Linked DNA regions of Callithrix jacchus. The protein of the gene in region 1 interacts with the protein of each later gene in a biochemical or structural test. Links are inferred from orthologs where the notes say so. Each region holds a gene or a part of one and is shown in the gene's direction. Other genes may lie near its edges.

The links.
Region 2: the proteins of GRB2 (region 1) and MAP4K1 form a complex in vitro, tested with the Homo sapiens proteins (3 studies listed by BioGRID). The link is inferred for Callithrix jacchus from reciprocal best matches to the Homo sapiens genes GRB2 and MAP4K1.
Region 3: the proteins of GRB2 (region 1) and DNM2 form a complex in vitro, tested with the Homo sapiens proteins (3 studies listed by BioGRID and IntAct, with this or other methods). The link is inferred for Callithrix jacchus from reciprocal best matches to the Homo sapiens genes GRB2 and DNM2.
Region 4: the proteins of GRB2 (region 1) and SPRY2 form a complex in vitro, tested with the Homo sapiens proteins (2 studies listed by BioGRID and IntAct, with this or other methods). The link is inferred for Callithrix jacchus from reciprocal best matches to the Homo sapiens genes GRB2 and SPRY2.
Region 5: the proteins of GRB2 (region 1) and FRS2 form a complex in vitro, tested with the Homo sapiens proteins (2 studies listed by BioGRID, with this or other methods). The link is inferred for Callithrix jacchus from reciprocal best matches to the Homo sapiens genes GRB2 and FRS2.
Region 6: the proteins of GRB2 (region 1) and LAT form a complex in vitro, tested with the Homo sapiens proteins (3 studies listed by BioGRID and IntAct, with this or other methods). The link is inferred for Callithrix jacchus from reciprocal best matches to the Homo sapiens genes GRB2 and LAT.
Region 7: the proteins of GRB2 (region 1) and ERBB2 form a complex in vitro, tested with the Homo sapiens proteins (4 studies listed by BioGRID and IntAct, with this or other methods). The link is inferred for Callithrix jacchus from reciprocal best matches to the Homo sapiens genes GRB2 and ERBB2.

What each region holds. Positions count from the first base shown.
Region 1 is NC_133506.1:131,303,794-131,307,917, reverse strand, and holds the start of GRB2 (growth factor receptor-bound protein 2), read left to right. Parts: upstream 1-1,324; 5' UTR 1,325-1,538; intron 1,539-4,124. UniProt on the Homo sapiens protein: Non-enzymatic adapter protein that plays a pivotal role in precisely regulated signaling cascades from cell surface receptors to cellular responses, including signaling transduction and gene expression.
Region 2 is NC_133523.1:34,195,093-34,199,114, reverse strand, and holds the start of MAP4K1 (mitogen-activated protein kinase kinase kinase kinase 1), read left to right. Parts: upstream 1-1,222; 5' UTR 1,223-1,348; coding exon 1,349-1,447; intron 1,448-1,619; coding exon 1,620-1,677; intron 1,678-1,792; coding exon 1,793-1,883; intron 1,884-2,941; coding exon 2,942-3,006; intron 3,007-4,022. Other genes in the region: EIF3K (eukaryotic translation initiation factor 3 subunit K), read right to left, coding at 1-3. UniProt on the Homo sapiens protein: Serine/threonine-protein kinase, which plays a role in the response to environmental stress. Appears to act upstream of the JUN N-terminal pathway.
Region 3 is NC_133523.1:9,992,234-9,995,367, forward strand, and holds part of DNM2 (dynamin-2), read left to right. Parts: intron 1-363; coding exon 364-528; intron 529-2,848; coding exon 2,849-3,081; intron 3,082-3,134. UniProt on the Homo sapiens protein: Catalyzes the hydrolysis of GTP and utilizes this energy to mediate vesicle scission at plasma membrane during endocytosis and filament remodeling at many actin structures during organization of the actin cytoskeleton.
Region 4 is NC_133502.1:34,892,466-34,895,182, forward strand, and holds the end of SPRY2 (protein sprouty homolog 2), read left to right. Parts: intron 1-433; 5' UTR 434-484; coding exon 485-1,432; 3' UTR 1,433-2,217; downstream 2,218-2,717.
Region 5 is NC_133510.1:72,118,454-72,121,953, forward strand, and holds part of FRS2 (fibroblast growth factor receptor substrate 2), read left to right. Parts: exon of another isoform or gene 1-531; intron 532-895; exon of another isoform or gene 896-901; 5' UTR 902-927; coding exon 928-993; exon of another isoform or gene 994-1,802; intron 1,803-2,226; coding exon 2,227-2,413; intron 2,414-3,175; coding exon 3,176-3,334; intron 3,335-3,500. UniProt on the Homo sapiens protein: Adapter protein that links activated FGR and NGF receptors to downstream signaling pathways.
Region 6 is NC_133513.1:28,976,691-28,980,731, reverse strand, and holds the start of LAT (linker for activation of T-cells family member 1), read left to right. Parts: upstream 1-1,241; 5' UTR 1,242-1,518; coding exon 1,519-1,618; intron 1,619-1,810; coding exon 1,811-1,838; intron 1,839-1,940; coding exon 1,941-1,975; intron 1,976-2,221; coding exon 2,222-2,303; intron 2,304-2,441; coding exon 2,442-2,629; coding exon of another isoform or gene 2,630-2,716; coding exon 2,717-2,780; intron 2,781-2,858; coding exon 2,859-2,953; intron 2,954-4,041. Other genes in the region: SPNS1 (protein spinster homolog 1), read left to right, coding at 293-763. UniProt on the Homo sapiens protein: Required for TCR (T-cell antigen receptor)- and pre-TCR-mediated signaling, both in mature T-cells and during their development.
Region 7 is NC_133506.1:120,159,730-120,163,984, forward strand, and holds the start of ERBB2 (receptor tyrosine-protein kinase erbB-2), read left to right. Parts: upstream 1-1,455; 5' UTR 1,456-1,632; coding exon 1,633-1,705; intron 1,706-4,255. UniProt on the Homo sapiens protein: Protein tyrosine kinase that is part of several cell surface receptor complexes, but that apparently needs a coreceptor for ligand binding. Essential component of a neuregulin-receptor complex, although neuregulins do not interact with it alone.

The sequences.
Region 1 (4,124 bases):
AGACGGAGTTTCGCTCTTGTTACCCAGGCTGGAGTGTAATGGCACGATCTCGGCTCAAGGCAACCTCTGTCTCCTGGGTTCAGGCAATTCTCCTGCCTCAGCCTCCTGAGTAGCTGGGATTACAGGCATGCACCACCATGCCCAGCTAATTTTTTGTATTTTTAGTAGAGACAGGGTTTCACCATGTTGACCAGGATGGTCTCGATCTCTTGACCTCATGATCCACCCGCCTCGGCCTCCCAAAGTGCCGGGATTACAGGCTTGAGCCACCGTGCCCGGCTCATTTTCTGTGTTTCAATGGGCTTGTTTCCTCTGTACAATCAGATGCTTGGTTATTCTCATCTCAACGCTATTTTTTTGGCTTCCAGAAGACACATTAACACTAGGTGTGTTCTGTTCTATCCTTTAATTGGAAAGAGCTTTGATAACTGAAAAACAAGAATTATTTACCGAAGCCTCATCTTCTGCCACTCCCCCATACTCACCGGCCTCATACAGGAATTGAACTACTTAGCACTGCACAGCACACGACTTTCACGCCTCCGTTCCGCTGTACTTAGCCTCTGTACTTACGTGCCATTCCCTTTCCCTGAAATGCCCTTACTCTGGCTTCTCTGCCTGGCAAACTCCTACTCATCCCCCAAGACTCAGCTTAGACATCGCCGCATCACCTCTGTAAAGGCTCTTTTGCAATGGGCAGAGTAGCCATTCTTCTTCCATCTTTTTAGCTTTCTCAGCAAACTCCAAATAACAGTACTTATGGCATTATTTGTTTATTTTTCTCTGCTTCCCTAGACCGTAAATTCCTTAAGGACCAGGATTTCTGTTCTATATCCAGCACAGTGTTCAGCCTATATTAGGCACATAATTAAATAAATGAGTAAACAAACCCACCAATCATTCAACATTGCAGAGTTTGTACGGATTCTCAAATATTTCAAGACCTGGTCTTCTGTTTGGAGTGCTTCAGGCTGGAAACTCTCTTCCTCCCCCCAGCCCCCATCCATATCCAATTGCCTTGGTTTGGTAGAGGAGAAAAGAAAGTGATTAGACGGGGTAAGAATTTATTCCTTCAGGACTAAGCTGTTATTTACCCGCTCTGGTACCGAGAGGGTTACGGCGACCCAGGGGCGGAGCCGTGACGAGGCCACCTGCTGCGGGCGGTCTGGCGCATGCGCCCTGGGGCCTAGCTAGTCACTACCTGCCGGAGCCCGGCCCAGGAGGAGCGCTTGCGCTTTGGGCGTTTTCCGCCGGGGGAAGTCTCGCGGGGGCGGGGCGGGGCGGGGCCTCGTGGAGAAGTTCTCGCGGGACACCCACGGCGAGCGGAAGCGAGGCGGCTCTGCTGCTTCGGCGACCGGGCGGCGGCGGCGGCGGCGGCGGCGGCTGTGGCTGAGGCTGTGTCTGTGTCTGTTTCTGTGTCTGTGACCGTGACGGCGGCGGGAGCAAGCGCCGCCCTCGCGGAGCAGCCTCGGGGTCGGCGGCCGCTCTCAGCGTTGAGGTGGGTCAGGCCCGACGCGGAGCGGACTAGCTGCGCCACGGTGAGTGCGGGCGGCTGCGCTCGGCGCCGCTCCTGTGTCTCTTCCTCTCCGCTCTGCGACGGGAGTGGGCCCTGGGGGAACCGGGACCCCGGCCCTTGGGGTCGGGTCGGGGCGGCGAAGCTCGGGACGCGGAGTGGAATGCCCAAGGCTCTGGACTCTGCGTTTCCCCTTTTGGGGCGCTTCCTTCCTGGGGAACGTCCTCCTCCGGCTCTCGGCTGTCTGTGCAGTGTCCGGGAGCCCGGGGGTAGAAGTCGGGGCTCCCTCGTGAAGTCCCCTGCCTTCGTCGGAAGGGTTTGCACGAAAGGGGCCTGGGAAGCCCGGAAGGGCAAAACCCCGACTGAGTCAGTCCGCCCGATCCCGGCGGCGGGGGACTTGGTGTGGGCTGCAGCTGTGGTGATTGATGCGCCTCCGACCTGCATGACAACCACGTCACCATCTCTTGGCGTCTTTGGGCTTAATTTTGTGCGGGAATCCACGGTGGGGTAGAACGTTCATCTCCCCGGGGGAGATGTCTTTATTCTGAGACTTAAAAAAAAATTATTTGAAAAATTAAGCAGCAGCAGGTTGGACTGCACCGAGGAAACATTGCGGCGAGAGCGGGCGCTGGTAATTTTCATTTGCAGCGCGCCCTCTCTGTGATTGTAAACCACATATGAGTTATGGCTTGTTTGGAAAGTTTTTCAAGCCTGGCTTCAAAGGCTATGAAAGTGCAGTTTGCAGAGGACTGAAGTGCATTTGAGGTGTGTCTCTTCTTGATGCTGTTGACTTTCAGAAATGTCAGACACATGAGAGAAATCAGCATTAGTCCCTGGCTTTCTTAACCCCTCTTTCACTCAGTACTTCTCCAGTTATTTCCTTACCTCTCTATCTACTTCTGTCCATTCCACTAGGGACAAGAAGTGCTTGTGTAATGCAAGTCATTTGCCCCTTCCTTCCCCCACCCCCCTCTTTTTTTTTTCTAATCTACTTCCCCTTCCTCCTTGGTAGTCCCCACTCTGGCGTAATTTTTCGAGGTTTCTTCCCTTTCGCACTGTTAGTTTTCTCTGATTTCAAGATTCCGTCCTTTTTCTCGGGAAGAGATCCTCTTTCCTGCTTTGGTGCCTTTACTTTTGCGCTTTCCCCTGCGTTCGCTAGTCAGCCAGAAGGGTTGCTAGAGAGCCATTGGAGGCTGAGGTTCCCCCGCTGAGAAGGGGGTGGGGGGCTCAAAAGATTGAATTCAGCCGGGTGCGGTGGCTCCCGCCTGTAATCCCAGCACTTTGTCAAGAGATCCAGACCATCCTGGCCAACATGGTGAAATCCCGCCTGTACTAAAAATAAAAAAATTACCTGGGTGTGGTGGCGCGCGCCTGTAGTCCCAGCTACTCGAGGCTGAGGCAGAAAAATCGCTTCAACCCGGGAGACGGAGATTGCAGTGAGCTCAGATCGCACCACTGCACTTCAGCCTGGCGACAGAGCGAGACTCCGTCTCAAAAAAAAGATTGAATTAATCCCTAAGAATTCAGTCCTGCCACTAGGTTACAAGTGTGGTTTGTTTGTTGTTTTGTGTTTTAGTTTTTTAAGATTATGCTTTTGTACCTATTTATGCTTTCTTCCAGTATGTCTTTATAATAGTAAGGAATATTGGGTCAGCTCAGGGCTTATGTGACTTTTTGACTTTTAGTGGGGGGTGTTAATGTTAAAAAGTGAAGGTCAACTATAAGTCTATATTAGGTTAAAATAGTCTGAAAAATGTAAGAGGCTAGAACTGATTTAGACCATCGAATTAGTTGAAGCCTGCGCGTTGTAGTAGTACTAATTTATTCTTTGTTAGGCTTTTAGTTAAAAATCAGGGATCTTTTTTCTGCATCTATTATAACTGGCCTTCGTTGTTGTTTTTGACAAAGAAATCTCTATTTGCTCCTTCCCAAGTTCAAAATGTTCCCAATCTCAAGATTTAAAAGAGTTAATTCTTATGATCAGCTATCTCCTAGTATGTATGTATGTATGTATGTATTTATTTATTTATCTATCTGAGACGAGTCTCACTCTTGCACAGGCTGGAGTGAGTGGTGCTGAGGATCTCGGTTCACTGCAGCCTCCACCTCCTGGGTTCAAGCACTCTTGTGCCTCACCTTCCCAAGTAGCTAGGATTACAGGCTCTCACCACCACACCTGGCTAATTTTTGTATTTGGTGGAGACGGGGTTTCACCATGTTGGCCGCGCTGGTCTCGAACTCCTAACCTCAAGTGATCTGCCTGCCTCAGCCTCCCTAAGTACTGAAATTACAGGTGTGAGCTCCTGTGCGGAGCCTAAACTCAGACATTTAAATGTTTGAGGCACTTAACTTGTCAGCAAGTTATTCCGATTTGAGAGGTTTGCTGGGTTTTAAGTACTACCAGTTGCTGGTACTTAGAGATTCTTTTCAGTAATTCCTGTTATGTTGCATATTGTGCATTGGAGTTCTAATTGTTGCATAGAACAGAAGAGCAAAGGATTTTGGAGAAAGGAAGTAATACAGAATAGAGTCACCATGCTCTCCTGAGAGAAATTAATTCTTAACTGCTTAATTCAGAGGAAGTCTCCGCCATTACCAAGTGGCTTTTGAG
Region 2 (4,022 bases), on another chromosome or scaffold:
CATGACTACTGTCGTCTTCCACAACCAGGGCTGGAGGCTAACACCGGCTTGGCACGGCGTCCTCGAGGACGGGAAAAGGAAGAGGCGATGGAAACGGAAACGACGTCGTTGTTGTCGTTCCAGCTCCTTGGGGGCAGTGAAGGGAAAGGCTCTCGCAGCAGCCGCCACACTTTCCGGCGGCAATGACACTTCTTCGCAGGCGCAATTGGCGCGTGCGCATTCGCTCCACTAGAGCTGGACGGACAGCGTGAGAAAAAGCCTACTGTATCCTAATGCGCAGGCGCCTCTCGTGGCGCCGGGGCGGGGCTAAGCTTTTCCCCGGCCTCACAGTCCCAGTTCCAGTGCCGGGGGCGCGGGAGCGTGCGCGCGCGAAGTCCCCGGGAAGCTGCCGGAGCGCTGGCGGCGTGCGCGCGCGTTGTATTGCGTGCGGCCATAAAGCCACCGAGCCCTGCGGGAATGCACGCCGCAGCCCTCCCTTTAGGTCATGGACAAGTTCCAAGGGAGATGCCCTCTTGCGGTCCCTCTTGCCTCAGGCCTGGGCCCCCGGTGCAGGATCCTGAGCTCTCCAGTTTCAAGTCCCGGCCCTTGGTCCCCAGCTCCAGGAGGAGGGTCCCACGAAGCTATTGTTCTCTGCAGGGCAGGGGCTGGGGTGAGGGCTCCTGGACTTCCCCGGATCGCGCCCCGTCTCCATTAGGTTCCGGTCTTGGAGATGAGGGAGAGCGTCCCAGCTGTACAGCCATGAATTATATTATGTTCAGGTTTTGTACAGTTATGTGCCATGTATGTGGAGGTATATGCCCTGGGTACATCCACATGTGTACTGTGCACACAGATAACTAGGCATATGCACGTCTACACGCCTGCGCACTGCAGAGGAGGTAACCTAAGTGCACGTTTGTGCCAGGTGAACAGGCATGAACACTGCATAGCCATCCCTGTGCAGACTTGCCGCCTTCAGGTCGTGGCCAAACCTTCAAGCACCCCGCAGAAGTTTAGCCATTCTAGGAGACGGGGGCGGGGGTTCCAAGGCACCCCTTACCCCAAGTTACGATTAAGATCATTTGCATCACATTTACATCCAGCCCCGGGCCTTGGGGGTTAAGGATGGTCCCTTGGGTCCCAAGACAAGCTGCCCCTCAGAGGCTCTCAGAGCCCAGGGGACGGGGGTGGAGCCCGTTGCACAGCCCTGCAGTGCAGCTGGGGCAGGAAGCGAGAGTGGGGTGGGGGGAGGCCACAGCCCGCGGAGGCAAGGCGGTTGCAGGGCTTCTGGGGACGGAGGGAGGTGCCAGAACTTGAGCCCTGAGGCCCTGCTGGCCCCTGGGCGCAGGCCCAGCTCCGGCCCCCAGGGATGGACCTCGTGGACCCTGACATTTTCAATAGAGACCCCCGGGACCATTACGACCTGCTGCAGCGACTGGGTGGCGGCACATATGGGGAAGTCTTTAAGGTGAGGAAGCCCCTCCATCCCCAATACCCTTAAACCAGTGACCTTTAAGGCGAGGCCTCGGTAGGGAGGAGGCTGCAAGAGGGGGGTCCCAGTCCTTGGCCTTGACTCAGGGATGCTGAGGAGAGACTCCGGCAAATGGAATCTGCCTGACTGCCAACTTCCCCTTTGCAAGGCTCGAGATAAGGTGTCGGGGGACCTGGTGGCACTGAAGATGGTGAAGATGGAGCCTGGTGAGGAGGGAACCCGGAGCTCCTTCCCCGCGTCCCCAGCTTGGCCTCCTGGGAGACTGGGATCACCTCCCGTAGCTCTCTCTGTGCAAGCTGCCTTTTCTCTCCCGCCCTCCAGACGACGATGTCTCCACCCTTCAGAAGGAAATCCTCATGTTGAAAACTTGCCGGCATGCCAACATCGTGGCCTACCATGGGAGTTATCTCTGGTGATGAACCTCAGACCCACCCTGGCACCCAGCCCAGCCCCTAACTCAGAGCCCCTGTTTCTTGATGGGGGCACCCTCAGTTCTTTTTTTTGAGACGAAGTCTTGCTCTGTTGCCCAGGCTGGAACGCAGTGGTGCCATCTCGGCTCACTGCAACCTCCACCTCCCGGGTTCAAGCATTTTTCTGCTTCAGCCTCCTGAGTAGTGGGGATTACAGGCACCCGCCACCACAGCCAGCTAATTTGTGTATTTTTAGTAGAGCAGGGTTTCACCATGTTGGCCAACCTGGTTTTGAACTCTTGTCCTCCTAATCCACCTGCCTCGGCCACCCAAAGTGCTGGGATTACAGGCATGAGCCACCGTGCCCGTCCTTGACACCCTCAGTTCTAACCTTGAACCTCCATTTCTCACCATAACCCAACTTCCCATCCTGGACCCCTATTTTTAACTGGCCTAACCCTACCCGATCCCCACTCCTAAGTCCCACTTTTCGAGCAGCCTCTAATCTCATCTCCAATCCTGAATTCACATTTCTGACCAAGAGTACACCAAACTGATCTCTTCATAACTGAATCTGAAATCAACCTCCTTGAAACCAATCTCTCGTCATTCTGCCCTTTGCTTCCCCCAGTTTCACGCTCTGCTCCTTTAATTTAAACTCCTAAATTCCCTGATCCCCAAATTAATATTCCAGATGCCCCAATAATGACCTCTGCTCCCCAGAACAGGTGTCCTGGGCCCCGCTATCCCCTCCAAACCTCCACAACCCATGAGATCTCTTCCCTGTCTCCTGGGTTGGCATGGGACGGCAGAGGGGTCCCACCTAAAGACCTAGGTTCGAGCTGAGTTGCCCACCCCCCCCACATTTCCTCTCTGAGCCTTAACTTCCTCATCTGTAAAATGGGAATGAAACAACCTCACTCTGGTAGACAGGAGAGATGGAGCTATGAGAGCTGTTGTTACATTACTGAGCTAGAACAAGACAGAGGCAAAGCAGGGGCTTTCCTGGAAATAAGAATGTAGCACTGCTCTTACTATTCTGATTCTCCAACCACTTCAGGTTGCAGAAACTCTGGATCTGCATGGAATTCTGCGGGGCTGGTTCTCTCCAGGACATCTACCAAGGTTAGAGAAGGGACAAGGGGACCCAGGCACCCCTCCCACCCCCATGCCCCCACCCCCAAATTCACCTCTTCCGTTGCTGTGTGTGTGTCTCATGGGAACTGTCTTTCTGGGCCATATTTCAAATTCCTGGGCTCAACTGATCCTCTTGCCCTGGGCTCCCAAAGTGTTGAGATTACAGGCTTGAGCCACTGTGCCTATTTTTTTTTTTTTTTTTTTTAATATAACCTCTGGGCCAGGTGCAAGGACTCACACCTATAATCCCAGCACTTTGGGAGGCCAAGATGGGCGAATCACCTGAGGTCAGGAGTTCGAGACCAGCCTGGCCAACATGGTGAAACTCTGTCTCTACTAAAAATACAAAAAATTAGCTGGGCGTGGTGGCAGATACCTGTACTCCCAGCTACTTCGGAGGCTGAGGCAGAAGAATCGCTTGAATATGGGAGGCAGAGGTTGCAGTGAGCTGAGATGGCACCACTGCACTCCAGCCTAGGCAGCAAGAGCAAATATCTGTCTCAAAAAAAAAATATATATATATATATAATATATATATATTATATAATTATATTATAATATATATATTATATAATTATATATAATATAAATATATATATATATATTATATATGGCCTCTAACTCCTTCCAGCCCTAGACCTCAAATGTTAGAAAAGGAAAGACTTCATTAAGAAGTCCTCTGGAGGGAAAGTGAGGCCCCCAGAGAGGAAATGAATCCCACAGACCTGAGCTCTGACGGCCTCTCTGTCTGTCTGTCTGTCTCTCTTCTGCCTGTCTGTTGTTCCCTCATCACCCCTCTGAGTCTCTCTCTCTCTCTCTCTCTCTCTCTCTTTCTTTTTTTATTTTGAGAATGGAGGGAGTCTCACTGTTTCACCCAGGCTGGAGTGCAGTGGCACGATCTTGGCTCACTATAACCTCCGCCTCCCAGGTTCAAGCAGTTCTACCTCAGCCTCTTGAGTAGCTGGGACTACAGATGCCAGCCACGAGGCCTGGCTAATTTTTGT
Region 3 (3,134 bases), on another chromosome or scaffold:
CAGGGGGCTGAGGTGTGAGGATCACTTGACCGCCCCCCAGGAGGTTGAGGCTGCAGTGAGCTGTGTTTGTGCCACTGCACTGCAGCCTGAGTGACATAGAAAAACTATCAAAAAACAAACAACAACAAAAAACAACCACGTTCCAATGCCCAGGTGAGGGGATTCACCCCAGCATCAGCCAGGATCACCCCATTGTTTGGGCAGCTCTGGCCTGGGGCAAGCAAGTCTGCCTGGTACCAGCGGGGCTCTCAGGGGCCAGCATGAGGTCAGTTATCGATGGGACAGTAGGGCAGATGGTTACCAGAGAACCAGGACTCGCCCCAGGCCAAGGTCACCCCTAAGCACCTCACCTCCCACTTGCAGGCAGAAAACGAGGACGGGGCCCAGGAGAACACCTTCTCCATGGACCCCCAGCTGGAGCGGCAGGTGGAGACCATTCGCAACCTGGTGGACTCGTACGTGGCCATCATCAACAAGTCCATCCGCGACCTCATGCCAAAGACCATCATGCACCTCATGATCAACAATGTGAGTGGAACACTGAAAGTGAGACGGAGGCGGCCGGGCGTGGGGCTCACGCTTAGTCCCAGCACTTTGGGAGGCTGAGGCGGGTGGATCACTTGAGGTCAGTTCAAGACCAGTCTGGCCAGCAAGGCAAAACCCCATCTGTACTAAAAATACAAAAAGTAGCCAGGCATGGTGGCACATGCCTGTAATCTCAGCTACTTGGGAAGCTGAGGCAGGAGAATCACTTGAACCCGGGAGGCGGAGGTTGCAGTCAACTGAAATCGTGCCATTGCATTCCAGCCTAGGCAACAGAGTGAGACTCCATCTCAAAAAAAAAAAAAGATGAGAAGGAGGTCAGGCATCCTGGCTCACACCTGTTTGTAGCACTTTGGGAGGCTGAGGCGAGAGGATCACTTGAGCCCAGGAGGTTGAGGCTGCAGTGAGCTGTGGTCATGCCACTGCACTCCAGCCCGAGCAACAGAGTAAGACCTTGTCTCCAACAACAGCAACAGCAACAAATCAGAACAAGTCACTACCCTTTAAACACCAGAATCTGCACGGCCAGTCTCTTTGGGAAACCCTAGGGCTTCCGAGCCATACTGGGTCCATGGTCCCATTGAGTCCACTAACTGGAACGAATACCGCAGATCTGCACCTTCTCTCAATTACTTTATGCCGGCCTCAGACTAACTGCACGAGGGAGAAATGCTATCTTCTCCATGGTGATGGGCACCTGTAATCCAGCTACTCAGGAAGCTAAGGCAGGACAGTGGCTCGAACCTGGGAGGCAGAGGTTGCAGTGAGCCGAGATCATGCCTTTGCACTCCAGCCTCGGCAACAGAGTGACACTCCATCTCAAAAAAAAAAAAAAAAAAAATGAGGCCGGGCGCGGTGGCTCACACCTATAATCCCAGCACTTTGGGAGGCCGAGACGGGTGGATCACAAGGTCAAGAGGTCGAGACCATCCTGGTCAAAATGGTAAAACCCCGTCTCTACTAAAAATACAAAAATTAGCTGGGCATGGTGGCGCGTGCCTGTAGTCCCAGCTACTCGGGAGGCTGAGGCAGGAAAATTGCTTGAACCCAGGAGTCAGAGGTTGCGGTGAGCCGAGATCGCACCATTGCACTCCAGCAACTGGGTAAAAAGAGCGAAACTCCGTCTCAAAAAAAAAAAAAAAATGAGAAGGAGGCCAGCCACCCTGGCTCACACCAGTTTGTAGTCCTGGCACTTTGGGAGGCTGAGGCAGAAGGATCGCTTGAGCCCAGGAGGTTGAGGCTGCGGGGAACTATGGTGGTGCCACTGCACTCCATTTCACAGACAGAAAACTGGAGGCCAGAGAGATAAAGTAACCTGCCCCAAGTCCCTTAGGAGAGTAGGAAGTGGGATTCAAATGCACGTTCACTCTGGTTGCAACCTTGCCTTCAGGTCGTGTCGGGCAGCTGCTGTGTCCTGATGGGCTGGGGGCGCAGCCTGTCTTCCTCATGGGCATCACCTGCCTGGCCCCAGGTTCCCTGGAGACTCTCAGGGCTCTGAGTTCCTCTTCTGTGAAATGCAGCTGTGCTGATACGATCTCCAGCTCAGGCTGCTGGAGGGTTCAGGGCATTTGTGGGTCATGCCTTTGGCATGGCACTAGCCACTCAAAAAGCTTTATAAACCAGCTTTGGGGCTGGAGCAGTGGCTCATGCCTGTAATCCCAGCACTTTGGGAGGCCAAGGCAGGTGGATCACCTGAGGTTGGGAGTTCGAGACCAGCCTGACCAACATGGTGAAACCCTGTCTCTACTAAAAATACAAAAATTAGATGGGGTGGTGGCGCACACCTATAGTCTCAGCTACTTGGAAAGTTGAGGCATAAGAATTGCTTGAACCCAGGAGATGCAGGTTGCAGTATCACCCACTGCAGCCTGGGTGATAGAGTGAGACTGTCACAAAAACATAAACAAATAAAAGTATAACAGGACTATTCTGCCAAGGTTAAGGAAATAAATAAGAAGCTAAGACAGTATCAATAGAAGAGACAAGATGCTAGGAGTAAGTTGAATAAGAATCTCATAAGCAGCCTGGGCCGCATGGTAAAGCCCCATCTACAAAACCTAGCTAAACATGGTGGTGTGCGCCTGTGGTCCCAGCTACTCAGGAGGCTGAGGCAGCAGAATTGCTTGAACCTGGGAGGCAGTGAGCCAAGATTGAGCCACTATACTCCAGCCTGGGAGACAGAGCAAGATTTCTCAAAGAAGTCTGGGGGTGGCCTCGCCCTGTGGGAGATGTATTTCCAGCAGTCATTATGGGTTCTGGGTTGGGGTGATGCAGAAGCCTGAGCCTCCCCAACCCCTGCCCGCAGACAAAGGCCTTCATCCACCATGAGCTGCTGGCCTACCTGTACTCCTCGGCGGACCAGAGCAGCCTCATGGAGGAGTCAGCCGACCAGGCGCAGCGGCGAGACGACATGCTGCGCATGTACCACGCCCTCAAGGAGGCGCTCAACATCATTGGCGACATCAGCACCAGCACCGTGTCCACGCCCGTGCCCCCGCCCGTCGACGACACCTGGCTCCAGAGCCCCAGCAGCCACAGGTCCGGGAGCCTGGTTCCCCTACCCACAAGCGTGCAGCCTGCAGGTTCTTGTT
Region 4 (2,717 bases), on another chromosome or scaffold:
GCTACATTATTAATGCTTAAGGCGAAACGACCATGAGAAATGGAAACCTATTTCACATTTTGAAAGAATTTTCAACTTCTGAAAACGTTGGTAGCAGTGTTATATTCCAGCAAAACTTTCTTGCGATTTTTACATTGAACCTGAACCTTGCAAACTGTATGTTTATTTGAATAAGGAATTCTTACTTAAGTGACTAAAACAAAGATCAGCTTTGTGTTGTTGTACATCACGGGATTACAGAATTGTCAGTAGCCAGCCATAATTTTCACTTGGGTACATGCGTCATTGATCATATGGCTAATACCTCCCCACTGTCATTCCATTTCAAATCCTGTTTCTCTAGGGAAAGTGGGAAGTGAGGAGTGAATTCAGGTGGGCGGAGAGTGGGAAGGATCTTAGAGTATAAACCGTTCTTTCCTCTTGGCTTCCTCAGGAGTTCAGATGTGTTCTAAGCCTGCTGGAGTGACCACACTTCCAAAACCTGATGGAGGCCAGAGCTCAGAGTGGCAACGGGTCGCAGCCCTTGCTGCAGACGCCCCGTGACGGTGGCAGACAGCGTGGAGAGCCCGACCCTAGAGACACCCTCACCCAGCAAGTACATGTCTTGTCTCTGGATCAGATCAGAGCCATCCGAAACACCAATGAGTACACAGAGGGGCCTACTGTCGTCCCAAGACCTGGGCTCAAGCATGCTCCGCGCCCCTCCACTCAGCACAAACACGAGAGACTCCACGGTCTGCCCGAGCACCGCCAGCCTCCTAGGCTCCAGCACTCGCAGGTTCATTCTTCTGCACGAACCCCTCTGTCCAGATCCATAAGCACGGTCAGCTCAGGGTCGCGGAGCAGTACGAGGACAAGTACCAGCAGCAGCTCCTCTGAACAGAGACTGCTAGGATCATCCTTCTCCTCTGGGCCTGTGGCCGATGGGATCATCCGGGTGCAACCCAAATCTGAGCTCAAGCCAAGTGAGCTTAAGCCACTAAGCAAGGAAGATTTGGGCCTGCACGCCTACAGGTGTGAGGACTGTGGCAAGTGCAAATGTAAGGAGTGCACCTACCCAAGGCCTCTGCCATCAGACTGGATCTGCGACAAGCAGTGCCTTTGCTCGGCCCAGAACGTGATTGACTATGGGACTTGTGTATGCTGTGTGAAAGGTCTCTTCTATCACTGTTCTAATGATGATGAGGACAACTGTGCTGACAACCCGTGTTCTTGCAGCCAGTCTCACTGTTGTACACGATGGTCAGCCATGGGTGTCATGTCCCTCTTTTTGCCTTGTTTATGGTGTTACCTTCCAGCCAAGGGTTGCCTTAAATTGTGCCAGGGGTGTTATGACCGTGTTAACAGGCCTGGATGCCGTTGTAAAAACTCAAACACAGTTTGCTGCAAAGTTCCCACTGTCCCCCCCAGGAACTTTGAAAAACCAACATAGCATCATTAATCAGGAATATTACAGTAATGAGGATTTTTTTCTTTCTTTTTTTAACACACATATGCAACCAACTAAACAGTTATAATCTTGGCACTGTTCATAGAGAGTTGGGATAGTCTTTGCTGTTTGCGGTGAAATGCTTTCTGTCCATGTGCCATTTTAACTGATAGGCTTGTTAGAACTCAGCTAATGGAGCTCAAAGTATGAGATACAGAACTTGGTGACCCATGTATTGCATAAGCTGAAGCAACACACACACACTCCTAGGCAAAGTTTTTGTTTGTGAATAGTACTTGCAAAACTTGTAAATTAGCAGATGACTTTTTTCCATTGTTTTCTCCAGAGAGAATGTGCTATATTTTTGTATATACAATAATATTTGCAACTGTGAAAAACAAGTTGTGCCATACTACATGGCACAGTCACAAAATATTATACTAATATGTTGTACATTCGGAAGAATGTGAATCAATCAGTATGTTTTTAGATTGTATTTTGCCTTACAGAAAGCCTTTATTGTAAGACTCTGATTTCCCTTTGGACTTCATGTATATTGTACAGTTACAGTAAAATTCAACCTTTATTTTCTAATTTTTTCAACATATTGTTTAGTGTAAAGACTATTTATTTGAAGTTTTATTATTTTATAAAAAAGAATATTTATTTTAAGAGGCATCTTACAAATTTTGCCCCTTTTATGAGGATGTGAGAGTTGCTGCAAATGAGGGGTTACAGATGCATATGTTCAGTATAAAATAGAAAATATATTAACGTTTGAAATTAAACTGAGCTGTTTTGTCTTCTTTTATCTTTTCTTTCAAGTGTAAGAAACTGCATTTTATGTTAAGGGTAACATTTTAGTGAAATAGTGCATCACTTTTCTATAGAATTATTTTATGATTGCTACTTTAAAGTAAGCTGGATTTGATGATGGTTCAGAGACAATTCCAGCAATCAAGAGCCAACAACATTTGACTTACCTATCTGTACTTAACATAGGAGAGCTTATTTTAGCTGGATTATTGAACAACATTTTTTTTTTTTTTTGCCAGATTTGCTGACTTGTTTTGTCGAGGTTTTGTTTTTAAAAAAAATTTTTGGAATTGATTTGTAAGGGAAACCTTTCTTAAAAATTAACAGTAGACTTTTTCTTTATATACAGTATCAAGGATTAATTCCATGAGGATAATTTATAACTAGTAAAATGAGTTTAGCTCAACAAATATTTATTGAATGTCACCTGTGTCTCAGACATGCAGTATTCACAGGTGAGTTCTTATAATTA
Region 5 (3,500 bases), on another chromosome or scaffold:
AGTGGTGCTTTGATATTTTCTTTGTCTTCTCAGTTGGAGTATTCTTAAATACTCAATGTCAGGTATATAACCACTTATCTCTCACCATCTATGGGAAAGAAGTATTAAATAGAGATAATGTATCAGTTTTGCCAGTGTTCTGTGTGTTAGTTTACTGCTTAATTTTGAGTTGTCTTTTTCTCTTACTAATGCACTATTCGAAATTTGATTTTCTTTTAATTACCAATTTGATTTTGTTTTAATTACCAATTTAATTACCAATCTTGTCTTGTGGAGACATAAAAGATACTACAATGAGTAACAGCAGTCAAAATACCTGCCAAGCCAGAAATTCACCATCCCTTTGGTGATTTTTTATTTAAAGAAGAACAAGCATGGTAGTCTTGTAGTCCCAGCTACTCGGGAGGCTGAGGCAAGAGGATCATCTGAGCCCAGGAGTTTGAGCCCAGCCTTGGGCAACGTAATGACTGTTTCTGTTGTCTGTCTCTCTCTCTGTCTCTCTCACTCTCTTTAAAGAAGAGCATGAAATTCCTAATAAGCCACAAAGGGTTAATTATATTATTCCAATATTCTTAAACAAAAAGTAATTATTTAAATAATATTGTATATATGAGATCTTAAGTTGGGTTTTTTTAGATAATTTTAGAATAGGTGGCCTTTGCAAATTTAACTAGAAATTTGAGATTTGTGTGACATTATTAATACCTCACAAAATTTATTCTTGTTACTGAGTAAAATCAACTAGCTAGTTGTATAAAATCTAGCTGCAGCCATATACCTTGTTGGGCTTAATTTTCTGCATCAAAATAATGTTTGTGTTAGATGATTTCTAAAGTGTTTTTCTGTTTACAATTTTTGTATCCTTCATCTAATGAATTTTTCCAAATTATTTTTTATGTAGTACACACATGGTCTTCTGAAGAAGCCATGGGTAGCTGTTGTAGCTGTCCAGATAAAGACACTGTCCCAGATAACCATCGGAACAAGTTTAAGGTCAGTAAAACTGGTTGAGTTGTATATCTTACTGCCTACTTGGATATTCTTCTTTTATTTCACTTAACATATCTTACTCCTGGCTTTTATCACCAAACTCTTCTATTTCCCTTTCTTTCTGCCCTGTCTTTTCTTGATTTAATAAATGATGACAACGTTTTCTTACGGTACAGAATTTTTTTCAGTTTTCCTTTGGTCCTCTGTATCTAATTAGCCATACAATTCTGGTAACGCTGTCTTTAAACTGCCATTTCACAGGGTTCCTTTTCAGTTGAATCACCATCTGTTTTTCAGTTATTATTTTCATGGGTACCTGCATGATTTTTTAACTGGACTCTTACCTCAAGTCACCCTCTGATTCATCCTGTAGTCAACATCAAATTAATCTTCTTCTTTCATCATTCACTAACCTGTTTGCCAAAACTCTGTGCTGTTATGTTACCTATAGGCTAAATGCTCCCATAGTTGTTTTGTGTCTCATAATCTGACCTCAATCTGTTATAAAGAATAGCCTTGATCACACAAACCTAGGTGTGAGTCTGTTACTTTATAAGCTTTGTGACCTCGGGCAGGCTACATTATTACTAAGTCTTACTTCCATTTTTTTGGACAATGTAGTCTAGGATTGTTATGAGGGTTAAGTGAGAAAAATTATACATATAAAACTCTTTTTTCACTCCCAGGGGAATAGTAACTTCTCCCTAAATGTTATCTACTATCTTAGTCTTTGGATGTTTTCTGAAGCTCAGCAGTCCAAAACCTTTGCTTATGTGAACTCCATGCCAATCTTATTTTGATCTCTTTGAAAGGTACTTTCTTTGTTCTACTTTAACATTGTGTCTTCATGATGTACCCTGTATCTCCTGATCCACTAGATTTCCCTTCTTATTTTATTTTGTGCATAAATTTAATTATACTAGCAGTCCAGCTAAAGGTCTTTTTCCTCTTACATGAAGGTGTCTCAACAGCCTTAGACCACAGTTCCTGCCTTCTGCAGTCTCTGTTGCATTTGTCACTTAATCATATATGTTTTGTGGTTTGTATATTTTGTTTCCTCAGTGGGAATATAAATTTCTTACAGATCTGAACTGAGTGTTACACTGCTACATAGATCATGGCTGACACACACATTATTTGATGAATGAACTAACAAATTACAAATAACTAATTAGCAACAATGCATTTTCCTGACAAATTGGTGAAATATTTGTATGACTGTTACTTTTTTTTTAGGTTATTAATGTGGATGATGATGGGAATGAGTTAGGTTCTGGCATAATGGAACTTACAGACACAGAACTGATTTTATACACCCGCAAACGTGACTCAGTAAAATGGCACTACCTCTGCCTGCGACGCTATGGCTATGACTCGAATCTCTTTTCTTTTGAAAGTGGTCGAAGGTGTCAAACTGGACAAGGTAGAACCTTTGTGTTTTTTTCCAAATATTATATTTGAAATATTGCTCTTCCAGCTATTTTATATACAAAGATTAAATTCATATTTTTTTCTCCTGAGAAAAATACCAAAATAAATAGATTGTTAAGAAAAGATATAATATACTATGTATTAATTTATCAAGTTTTTATTAAGCATATTGTCTATGCGGGAAATTTTGGCTTGTGTTAACTTCAAGATTTTTTAGTAAATGATTAGGCCTGCTAAATTGACTGTCTTTATCATTGGTTTTTTTTTTACTACCTACTACTTGAATGGCCTTGACAAGTTACAAGACTTCTGTTGAATGTTAAGTTTCTCCTCTATAAAACGGAAATGGTAATACCTATCTTATAATTACTGTAATAATTAAACAAGGTAACGATTGGAAAACACCTAGGGACTTTGCAAGGGGCCTGTTACATGGCAAATGATAACCTTGGAATGGTGAGTTAGGCTCCCCCTGCTGTTAAAAAACAGACTAGTGTAACTGTGCAGGTCTTGATTTCATTAGCTTTATTTTGGGCCATCTCCTTTGGATGAATGAAAATTATTCTGTAAATTTTTGGCAGGGGTTTGTTTTGAAACAGGGAATAATCAGTGATTTATTATATATTTATTTAAAAGGTATTTCTTACTCTTGATGCATAGAATGCTTACTTTACAATTCTGCTCTTCGTCAAGTGTTCCTATAGTTTTTTTAAAGGTATATTAACTATTTTTCCCTTTTGGTTTATATTTGTAGGAATCTTTGCCTTTAAGTGTGCCCGTGCAGAAGAATTATTTAACATGTTGCAAGAGATTATGCAAAATAATAGTATAAATGTGGTGGAAGAGCCAGTGGTAGAAAGAAATAATCATCAGACAGAATTAGAAGTCCCTAGAACACCTCGAACACCTACAAGTAGGTACCCATTTTTCCTCTCACATTTTGAGTAACAGGTGTTTAGTTCTAAGCTATAGATTATGGATATTTAATCTGTAATACACTGGAAATCACCATTGGATAACAGAAGTATAATGGTTGTCAGTTTTTAAAAACAGCTGTAATTCTAAGTATGTCAAATATT
Region 6 (4,041 bases), on another chromosome or scaffold:
CCTTCCTGGGCACCGCCATCTTCATTGAGGGCGACCGCCGGCGGGCGCAGCTGCACATGCAGGGTCAGTTAGGGGCTGTCCTCTGCCCAGCTTCTTGATCTGCCTGTCTGTCCGTCCATCTGTCTGCCCACTTCTGTGCACCTGGTGGCTCAGTCCACAGTTTTCTCCTCGTGTCTGCGTCTACCCCTTGGGCAGCTCTGTGACTGCCCCATCCATTTCCCGCTGCCTGTTTGCCCTTCTTTGGCTTTGTCTGTCCATCCGGTTCACCCTGGCTCTGACCCTCCCTCTGCAGGCTTGCTGCGCGAGGCAGGGCCCACAGATGACCGGATCGTGGTGCCCCAGCGGGGCCGCTCCACCCGGGTGCCTGTGGCCAGCGTGCTCATCTGAGAGGCCGCCGCTTGCCTGCCTGCACATCTGCCGCAGCTGGCCCTGGGTCCACCCCACAAGGGGCCTGGGCCTAACCCCTTGGCCTGACCCAGCTTCCAGAGGGACCCTGGGCCGTATCCCAGCTCCCAGACACTACATGGGCAGCTCAGGGGAGGAGGTGGGGGTACAGGAAGGGGATCCCCCTCCACAGGGGCAGCCCCAGGGGCTCGGTGCTATTTGTTATGGAATAAAATTTGTAGCCAGACCCCAGGTGCCTGCTCTTGTCTTTCTCTGGGTGACCTCTGATCTTGCGTCCCGTCTTCACCCCAGGGCTCCTGAAGACTGTGGGTCACCCCTTGGGGCTCTGAGTGAGTCTCTGCCCTTCTGGTCTGGGTGACTGAGAGCGGAGACTGCTGTCCTCTGTGTGAGCTGGCTTGGTGTGACTGTGAGTCACGCCCCTGCTTCCCCGGAGCCTGCCCCTTGCCTCTCAGGACTGGCTGAGGTGGGGGTGGGCACTGCCTTCTGCACCCCAGAATTCCTGCTGTCAGGGCCTCCCCGCTTGCTGCCTCCCCAGGCCCTGGATGTGGAGGCCGTGGCTGCCAGCCAGCAGGTGGCTGTCCCATTCCTGGGGGCCCAAAGACCCCTGGTGAGAGCCTGGGGTGGCTCCCGGGCCTCCTCCTGCCCCCTCCCCAGTGGCAGGGTGGAGTGGGAAGGGGGCGGGTACAGCCGACTGAGAGCTCGATGATTTCCTGCCCTCGCCTGGTGCTCACCACAGCTTCCTGCCGCAGGCAGGCGGGTGGGCAGGCACAGGGAGAGGCGGGCGCTGAGGAGGGGCGGGTAGGGCTGGGACACGGGTGGCTGGGTCCCCCAACTTCAGTCTGGGCCCTGGTCTGACCACCCGGGGAGCAGAGACTTCCCACAGCCAGCTGGACGCCCACTCAGCCCAGAAAAAGAGGGGACCCATCCAGGGAGCCCCGGGGAGGGAACTGCCGCCTCCTCCTGGGCTCCCACGCCACCTGCTGCCTACCTGCCCCCTGCTTGGTCCGATCTTCACCCAGTCCTCACCTGGTCCTCACCCTGTCCTTGCCTGGCCTTGGCTCTGCCCTTGAGGGGCCTGTGGGGTAAGCCGGCCTGCTCCGAGCTCCCCTGCAGATGGAGGAGACCATCCTGGTCCCCTGCGTGCTGGGCCTCCTGCTGCTGCCCATCCTGGCCGTTTTGATGGCGCTGTGTGTCCACTGTCACAGGCTGCCAGGTGAGTGGGAATGGTGGGGTGCCTGGGGCCTGGGCACAGTGACGGTATCCTCACCACTCCCAGCCCCTGCGTCTGTCCTGGCTCTGGCCCTGCCTCCGTTCCAATCCCAGTGTCTCTGAGAGCCCCTGGACTCCCCACACCTTCTGCCCTCAGCACCCCGTGTTCCTGCCTTAGCAGCCCTCTCTTTCCCAGGCTCCTATGACAGCACCTCCTCAGATAGGTGAGTCTGCCCTGGCTGCCCTGGGTCTCCCTCCACTCCCCACGGTGGGGCAGGACTGGGGCCTCTCCCAGCCCCAGCCCCAAGCTGTGTCTTTTTTACCAGTTTGTATCCAAGGGGCATCCAGATCAAACGACCTTGTGAGTACATTGAGGGTCCCCTACCTCCAGTGTCGGGGAGAGGGTCCCCTGGTGTAGGAGTGTGTGTGAACCTTCCCTCAGCCCCTGCCACCCTGGGGCTGCCCACATGGCCTTGACCTGAGCTGGGAGAGGGGAGATGGCACCCCCAGGCCTGTCCAAGGTGCACCGGTTTCAGGAGCTTAGTCTGTTCTTTGAGGCCTTGACGATGTCTGGAGTCCTTCTTTCAACTTGGTTCTGTGTCCTCAGACACACTCGCCCCCAGGCCGCCCACCTACCCACCTGTCACCTCCTACCCACCCCTGAGCCAGCCAGACCTGCTTCCCATCCCGTGAGTAGCTGCTCCCCTACCCCTCCAAACGCCCCTCCACCCCCTCACTTTCTTGGATTGGTAGCCCCTTTCCCTTTTGCAACTGCCATTGCCCCCTGAGCCCCACCTCAGCCATGACCCCTGACCTTTGACTCCCAGAAGATCCCCACAGCCCCCCGGGGGCTCCCACCGGATGCCATCTTCCCGGCGGGACTCAGATGGTGGTAAGTGTGGGGAAGGGCCGAGGAGGCTGGGGCCGGGAAGAAGATCGTCCTGGCCTGAGCTGACTCAGTCTCCCTCTCTCCCTGTCTCTGAAGCCAACAGCGTGCCGAGCTATGAGAACGAGGGTGCGTCTGGGATCCGAGGTGCCCGGGCTGTGGGGGGAGGCTGGGGCCTGTCCTGGGCTAGGCTGACCCCTGTGTTGTTACCCCCAGAACCAGCCTGTGAGGATGCGGATGAGGATGAGGATGAGGATGACTATCACAACCCGGGCTACCTGTGAGTGGCCAGGTGGGAGGTGGGAGGTGGGGGCTCAGGCTGGGCCTGAGCTCACCAGCCCGTTTCACTTCCTTTCAGGGTGGTGCTTCCCGACAGTGCCCCGGCTGCTAGCACTGCCGCCCCACCAGCTCCTGCGCTCAGCACTTCTGGCCTTCGAGACAGCGCCTTCTCCAGTGAGTCGGGCATTTGTTTTTATTTTTTAATTATTTTAGGGACAGGCTGGAGTGCAGTGATGCCATCGTAGTTTGCTGCAGCCTCGAACTTCTGGGCTCCAGTGATTCTCCCAAGTAGGCTACTCGGTCAGCCTCAGCCTCCCAAGTGGCTGAGACCACAGGCGCATACCACCACACCTAGCTTATTTAAAACAATTTTTTGTAGAGACAGGGTCTCGGTATGTTGCTCAGGCTGGCCTTGAACTCCTGGGCTCAAGTGATCCTCCCATCTCAGCCTCCCAAAGTGCTGGGATTACAGGCATGAGCCACCGTGTCCAGGCCTGTTCTTCTGATTTTCTTAACTTTCTCTCTCCTCTTTCCTACCTTACTGTCCTTTCCTTATATCATCTGGGAGATTTCCTTGACTTTATTCTTCAACCCTTCCACTGCAATTTCATTTATCCTGTCCAGAAACTCTTTCTTGTTTTCTGACTGTTCTTTTTTTATAGCCTCCTGTTCTTGTTTCATGGAGGCAATACCATCTTATACATCTCTAAGGATATTAATTAGAAGCTGGTGTGTGTGTGTGTGTGTGTGTGTGTATGTGTGTGTGTGTGTGTGTGTGTGTGTGTGTGTTTTCTTCTGCTCCCTGCACTGCCCGGTTTCCTTTGAGCTGTTTTTCTTCCTTCCTTCTGGTCTCATCCTGCCTGGTCATATCCTCTGGGCTTTCCTCAATGTCCAGCGTTCTTTAGTTTTCTGTTGCTTTGCTCTCTCTGTATATACTTGTCCTGGGCTATCAATTCTACACCCTGGCCTTGTTTGCCATCCAGATTCCTAGTTTGCTCTCTTCTGAACTCCAGACTCTCCAAGTACTTCATTCATTCATTCATTTATTCATTCATTCCTTCAGAGTTTACTGCGGTGCCCTCTACTGGGCTAATGCTATGAATGTAACAGTTCAGGGGGCAGACTGTTCTGATAAAATAGCTGGCTGGGTGTGGTGGCTCACTCCTGTAATCCCAGCACTTTGGGAGGCCGAGGAGGGAGGATTGCTTGAGTCCAGGAATTCAAGAGTAGCCTGAGCAATATGGCAAAGCCTTATCTCCACA
Region 7 (4,255 bases), about 11 Mb from region 1:
AGATTTCAAGATTTGAATTCAGGTCCTCTCGGTCTCAGAGCCCTCTGTTTCTGGGGCTCTGTTCCACCAGAGGTGCCTGTCTATAAGTATGCTCAGCACAGGGAAGCAAGTTTAGAAATGCAAGTATATACCTTTAAAGAGGTGTGTGGGGGAGAACGAGAGAAAGGGATGCTAGTGTCCTTCATTCTCCAGTCCCTGATAGGTGCCTTTGATCCCTTCTTGACCATTATAGCTGTGTTCTTGGCTGGGGCATTCCAACTAGAACTGCCAGATTTAGCACATAAAAATAAGGAGGCCCAGATAAATTTGAATTTCAGATAAACAGTGAATAATTTGTTAGTATAAATATATCTCATGCAATATCTTGTTGAAATTTCCAAAAAAAAAAAAAGTCTTCCTTCTATCCCCATAGGGTCAGAGGCTCCAAGTAGAATGTAGTTGGGAAGTGGAATTAAGCAGGCTACTAGAAGGCAAGGGGCAAAGAAGAAACCTTGCAGGCATGGGTGCTGGGTGCCTCCTTAAATAAGCAAGAAGGATGTACTTTGAAGAACTAAGATAGAAGTCCTCGGCTGGGCGCAGTGGCTCACACTTGTAATCCCAGTACTTTGGGAGGCCAAGGTGGGCAGACCATCTGAGGTCAGGAGTTCGAGACCAGCCTGACCAAAACGGAGAAACCTCGTCTCTACTAAAAATACAAAACTAGATGGGCATTGTGGCGCATGCCTGTAATCCCAGCTACTTGGGAAGCTGAGGCGGGGAATCGCTTGAACTCAGAAGGTGGAGCTTTTGGTGAGCCAAGACTGAGCCATTGCACTCCAGTTTGGGCAACAAGAGCGAAACTCCGACTCAAAGAAAAAAGAAGTCCTTGCGATATGACTATCTCCTCCCAGATTTGTAGACCCCCTTGAGACCGTGATTTTCAGACTGGAGAAGGTACTTCAAAGATTCCAGAAGATATGCCCGGGGGTCCTGGAAGCCACAAGGCAAACACAACACATCCTCCTCCTTGACTATTAATTTTACTAGAGGATGTGGTGGAAAAACATTATTTGATTTTAAAACAAATAGGCTTGGGATGAGTAGGACGCCAGCTTCCTAGGAATGTTTAAGATAAAATCTGCGACTTAAAAGAGCATGAAGAGTGACAGCCTAGGGAATTTGTCCTGGACTCTGGGGGAGGGGGCAGAATCACCAGCCTCTGCAGTTAGGGATTCTCCGAGGAAAATTGAGAGCGGCTGCAGGCAACCCAAGCGTCCCGGCGCTGGGAGGGACGCACCCAGGCCTGCGCGGAGAGAGGGAGAAAGTGAAGCTGGGAGTTGCCACTCCCAGACTTGTTGGAATGCAGTTGGAGGGGGCGAGCTGGGAGCGCGCTTGCTCCCAATCACAGGAGGAGGAGGAGGTGGAGGAGGAGGGCTGCTTGAGGAAGTATAAGAATGAAGTTGTGGAGCTGAGATTCCCCTCCTTCGGGACCCGAGAGACCAGGGGAGCCCCCCCCGGGCAGCTGCGCGCCCCTTCCCACGGGGCCCTTTCCGGCGCTGCGCGCCCGGCCTCCACCCCTCGCCGCACCCCGCGCCCCGCGCTTCCCCAGCCGGGTCCAGTCGGAGCCATGGGGCCAGAGCCGCAGTGAGCACCATGGAGCTGGCGGCCTGGTGCCGCTGGGGGCTCCTCTTCGCCCTCTTGCCCCCCGGAGCCGCGGGCACCCAAGGTGGGTCTGGTGTGGGGAGGGGACGGAGCAGCGGCGGGACCCTGCCGCCTGGATCCCCCTCCGAGGTCCACCCGCCCGCGGGGCCAGAGGGGCCCGGACGAACTCTAACATCCCGAAGTTGCGGACGGTCCAGACGCTCAGGGCAGCCGGGCCCTCGGGCCGGAGGGGGCAGTTACACGGCAGCGGCTCGAGATGGCCCATTCCAGATACTGGCTCTTTCCAGGCTCCCAGGGGGATCCGGGAGCTTGTCAAAGAAGTTCTCTGAAATTGTTTAGAAACTTTTCCCGCAATGGGTGTATTGCATAGAGCGTGAGGGAGTGTTTCCCCCCTTCTCGAGCCCCCTCAAGCTTTCTCAAAGCCTTTCCAGTTGGCAGCCTCCGCCTCCGGACTGGCCTGGGCTGGATTCCTTGGGGGGGATCCTCTGCCCTGTCCCTCCCCACTCCCCTTCAGACGATTTTGGTTTGGTTGCTCCTGCTTCTGGCTGGGTCGGTTGTGTGTGTGTGTGTGTGTGTGTGTGTGTGTGTGGTGGGGTGACGGGGTGGGATAGCAACCTGTCCCAAACATAGCCGGGGAGGAAAGGGTGGCCCAGAGGGTGGCCTCTTGCTGGGGTCTGGGTTGGGGGCGGGGGAGACGTTTGCTTTGAACAGATTCTTAGGGCCAGCCTGGGAACTGTGCTCTGTGACTTTTGGAGTGTGTGGACCATGGAGGGGTGGTGATGGGTTTCTTGGGGTATAAAGTGGGAGAGTTCCCAGGGAAGGAAGCTAAGAAATACCGGCCAGATGGAGGCCTAGAGAGGGCTGTGTGGTTCTGCCGCCTTTTCCTTGGTGCTGTGCTTGGGGAAGGCTGAGTGGGGGCAGTGTGTATCCTGACCCATCTGTCCACCTGTGTGCATTAATCATAAAAGCTAACATATAGCCTGGGCCAGGTATACTCTGCCAGGAACTGTGTGTGGCATTTTGCATGCACTCTCCTTTAATCCTAGAACACCTCTACAGTGGAAGGTTTGCCAGCATTCTGGACTTAAAGAAGTTGTGTAGCAGGAGGTAAATGGTGGGGTCAAGATGGGACCCCAGGCAGTGCGACCCCCAACCATGCATTCGAAATCACTGTATGAATGAATGCACCTGGAGCAATGAGGGACGCTGTTCCCTGAATCACTGGGTTGTAGGAGAGACAGAATGAAAGTGTTCTGGGAGTTGTGGGTGGTCCCTATAGGTCAGGGGGTCTGGGGAGGGGTGGGCGTCATCGTGTCTGTGCTGCCCGAGGGGCCCTCTGTGAGTGAGTATATGGCTGTGTTATCTCTGCGTGTCTGTGCTAGGCTGTCCCTGAGTTGTGTGGTCTTTGTGATTGTGTTGCCAAACAGCAGCTCCTCTGCTGACTTGGGGACACAGTCTGAACTCTGTCCTCTCCAGGAACTCCCTCAAGGTGCTGGGCCAGATATGCAATAAACAGAGGGAGTAGCCTTCTGTGGCCACACCTTCTTGCGGAGGAAGAAGGCTCCTCTCTTCCAGGGAGTTCATCCTTGCCCTCCCTGTTTCCCAGACAGGCATCTTCACCTCTCACCTTCTGATGAGAAGGGTGAGGCCAGGCTGGGCTGTCAGGCTGAGCTGCTGCCCTTCTTCACCTTGGGCTGAGAGTTGATCAAGGAATAGCAGCTGCTGCAGAGCTGGATTTCAGGGCTGGGTTCTCTGGATGGGGCCTCCTCATGTCCTCACCCCTCAACCTGCACTATTGATTGTGTTGTGCAGGAGATGGTTAAAAAGGCATTGCACAGCCTGGGCAACATGGCAAAACTTTTTCAGTACAAAAATACAAAAATTGGCTGGATGTGGTGACACATGCCTGTAGTCCCAGCTACTCTGGAGGCTGAGGCAGGAGGATCACCTGAGCTCAGGAAGTTGAGGCTGCAGTGAGTGATCACAACTGCATTCCAGCTTGGGCGACAGAGTGAGACCCTGTTTCAGAAAAAAGAATTCACCACCCATTTGCGTCTGGCACCCAGATTTTACTCAAGGGCTGAGGGCTGGGGCAGGAATGTGGGGGAAGGGAAGGCCTAGAGAGAGCCCCAGAGGGGTCAGGATTTTGCTGAGATCCTTTCTTAGAGGTGTGGATTTTTGCACACTGCAGCAAGTACACCCTTTAAATCTTGCAGCACTCCTTCATATTTTAATTCCAGTATGATTTTTCCAAGAGCCTCCTCTCTTTACCGTACTTGGGGAAAGTACTCATTTTATTTGGGAAAAAAAAAAGGAAAATATAAGGATTAAATGTAAAAAGAAAAAATATGTGACATTCCAAAGTCAAACATGAAGCACTTCTAATTTTCTCATGGTTTATTACCCATATTCCTGCTGTATGAACCTGTCTTGCCTTAACTTTGAAGAAATGTACGGTGTACTTCTATAGGCCAGGTTTTTATCCATGGTTTCATTTATAACAGTCCAGTGAAGTAGATGCACAGATGAGACTATGGAAGTTCAGAGAAATGAAGCAACTTATCCAAGGCTCCCAGCTACCCAGTAATGTCCAGGGCATTTTTGGGCTCTGATG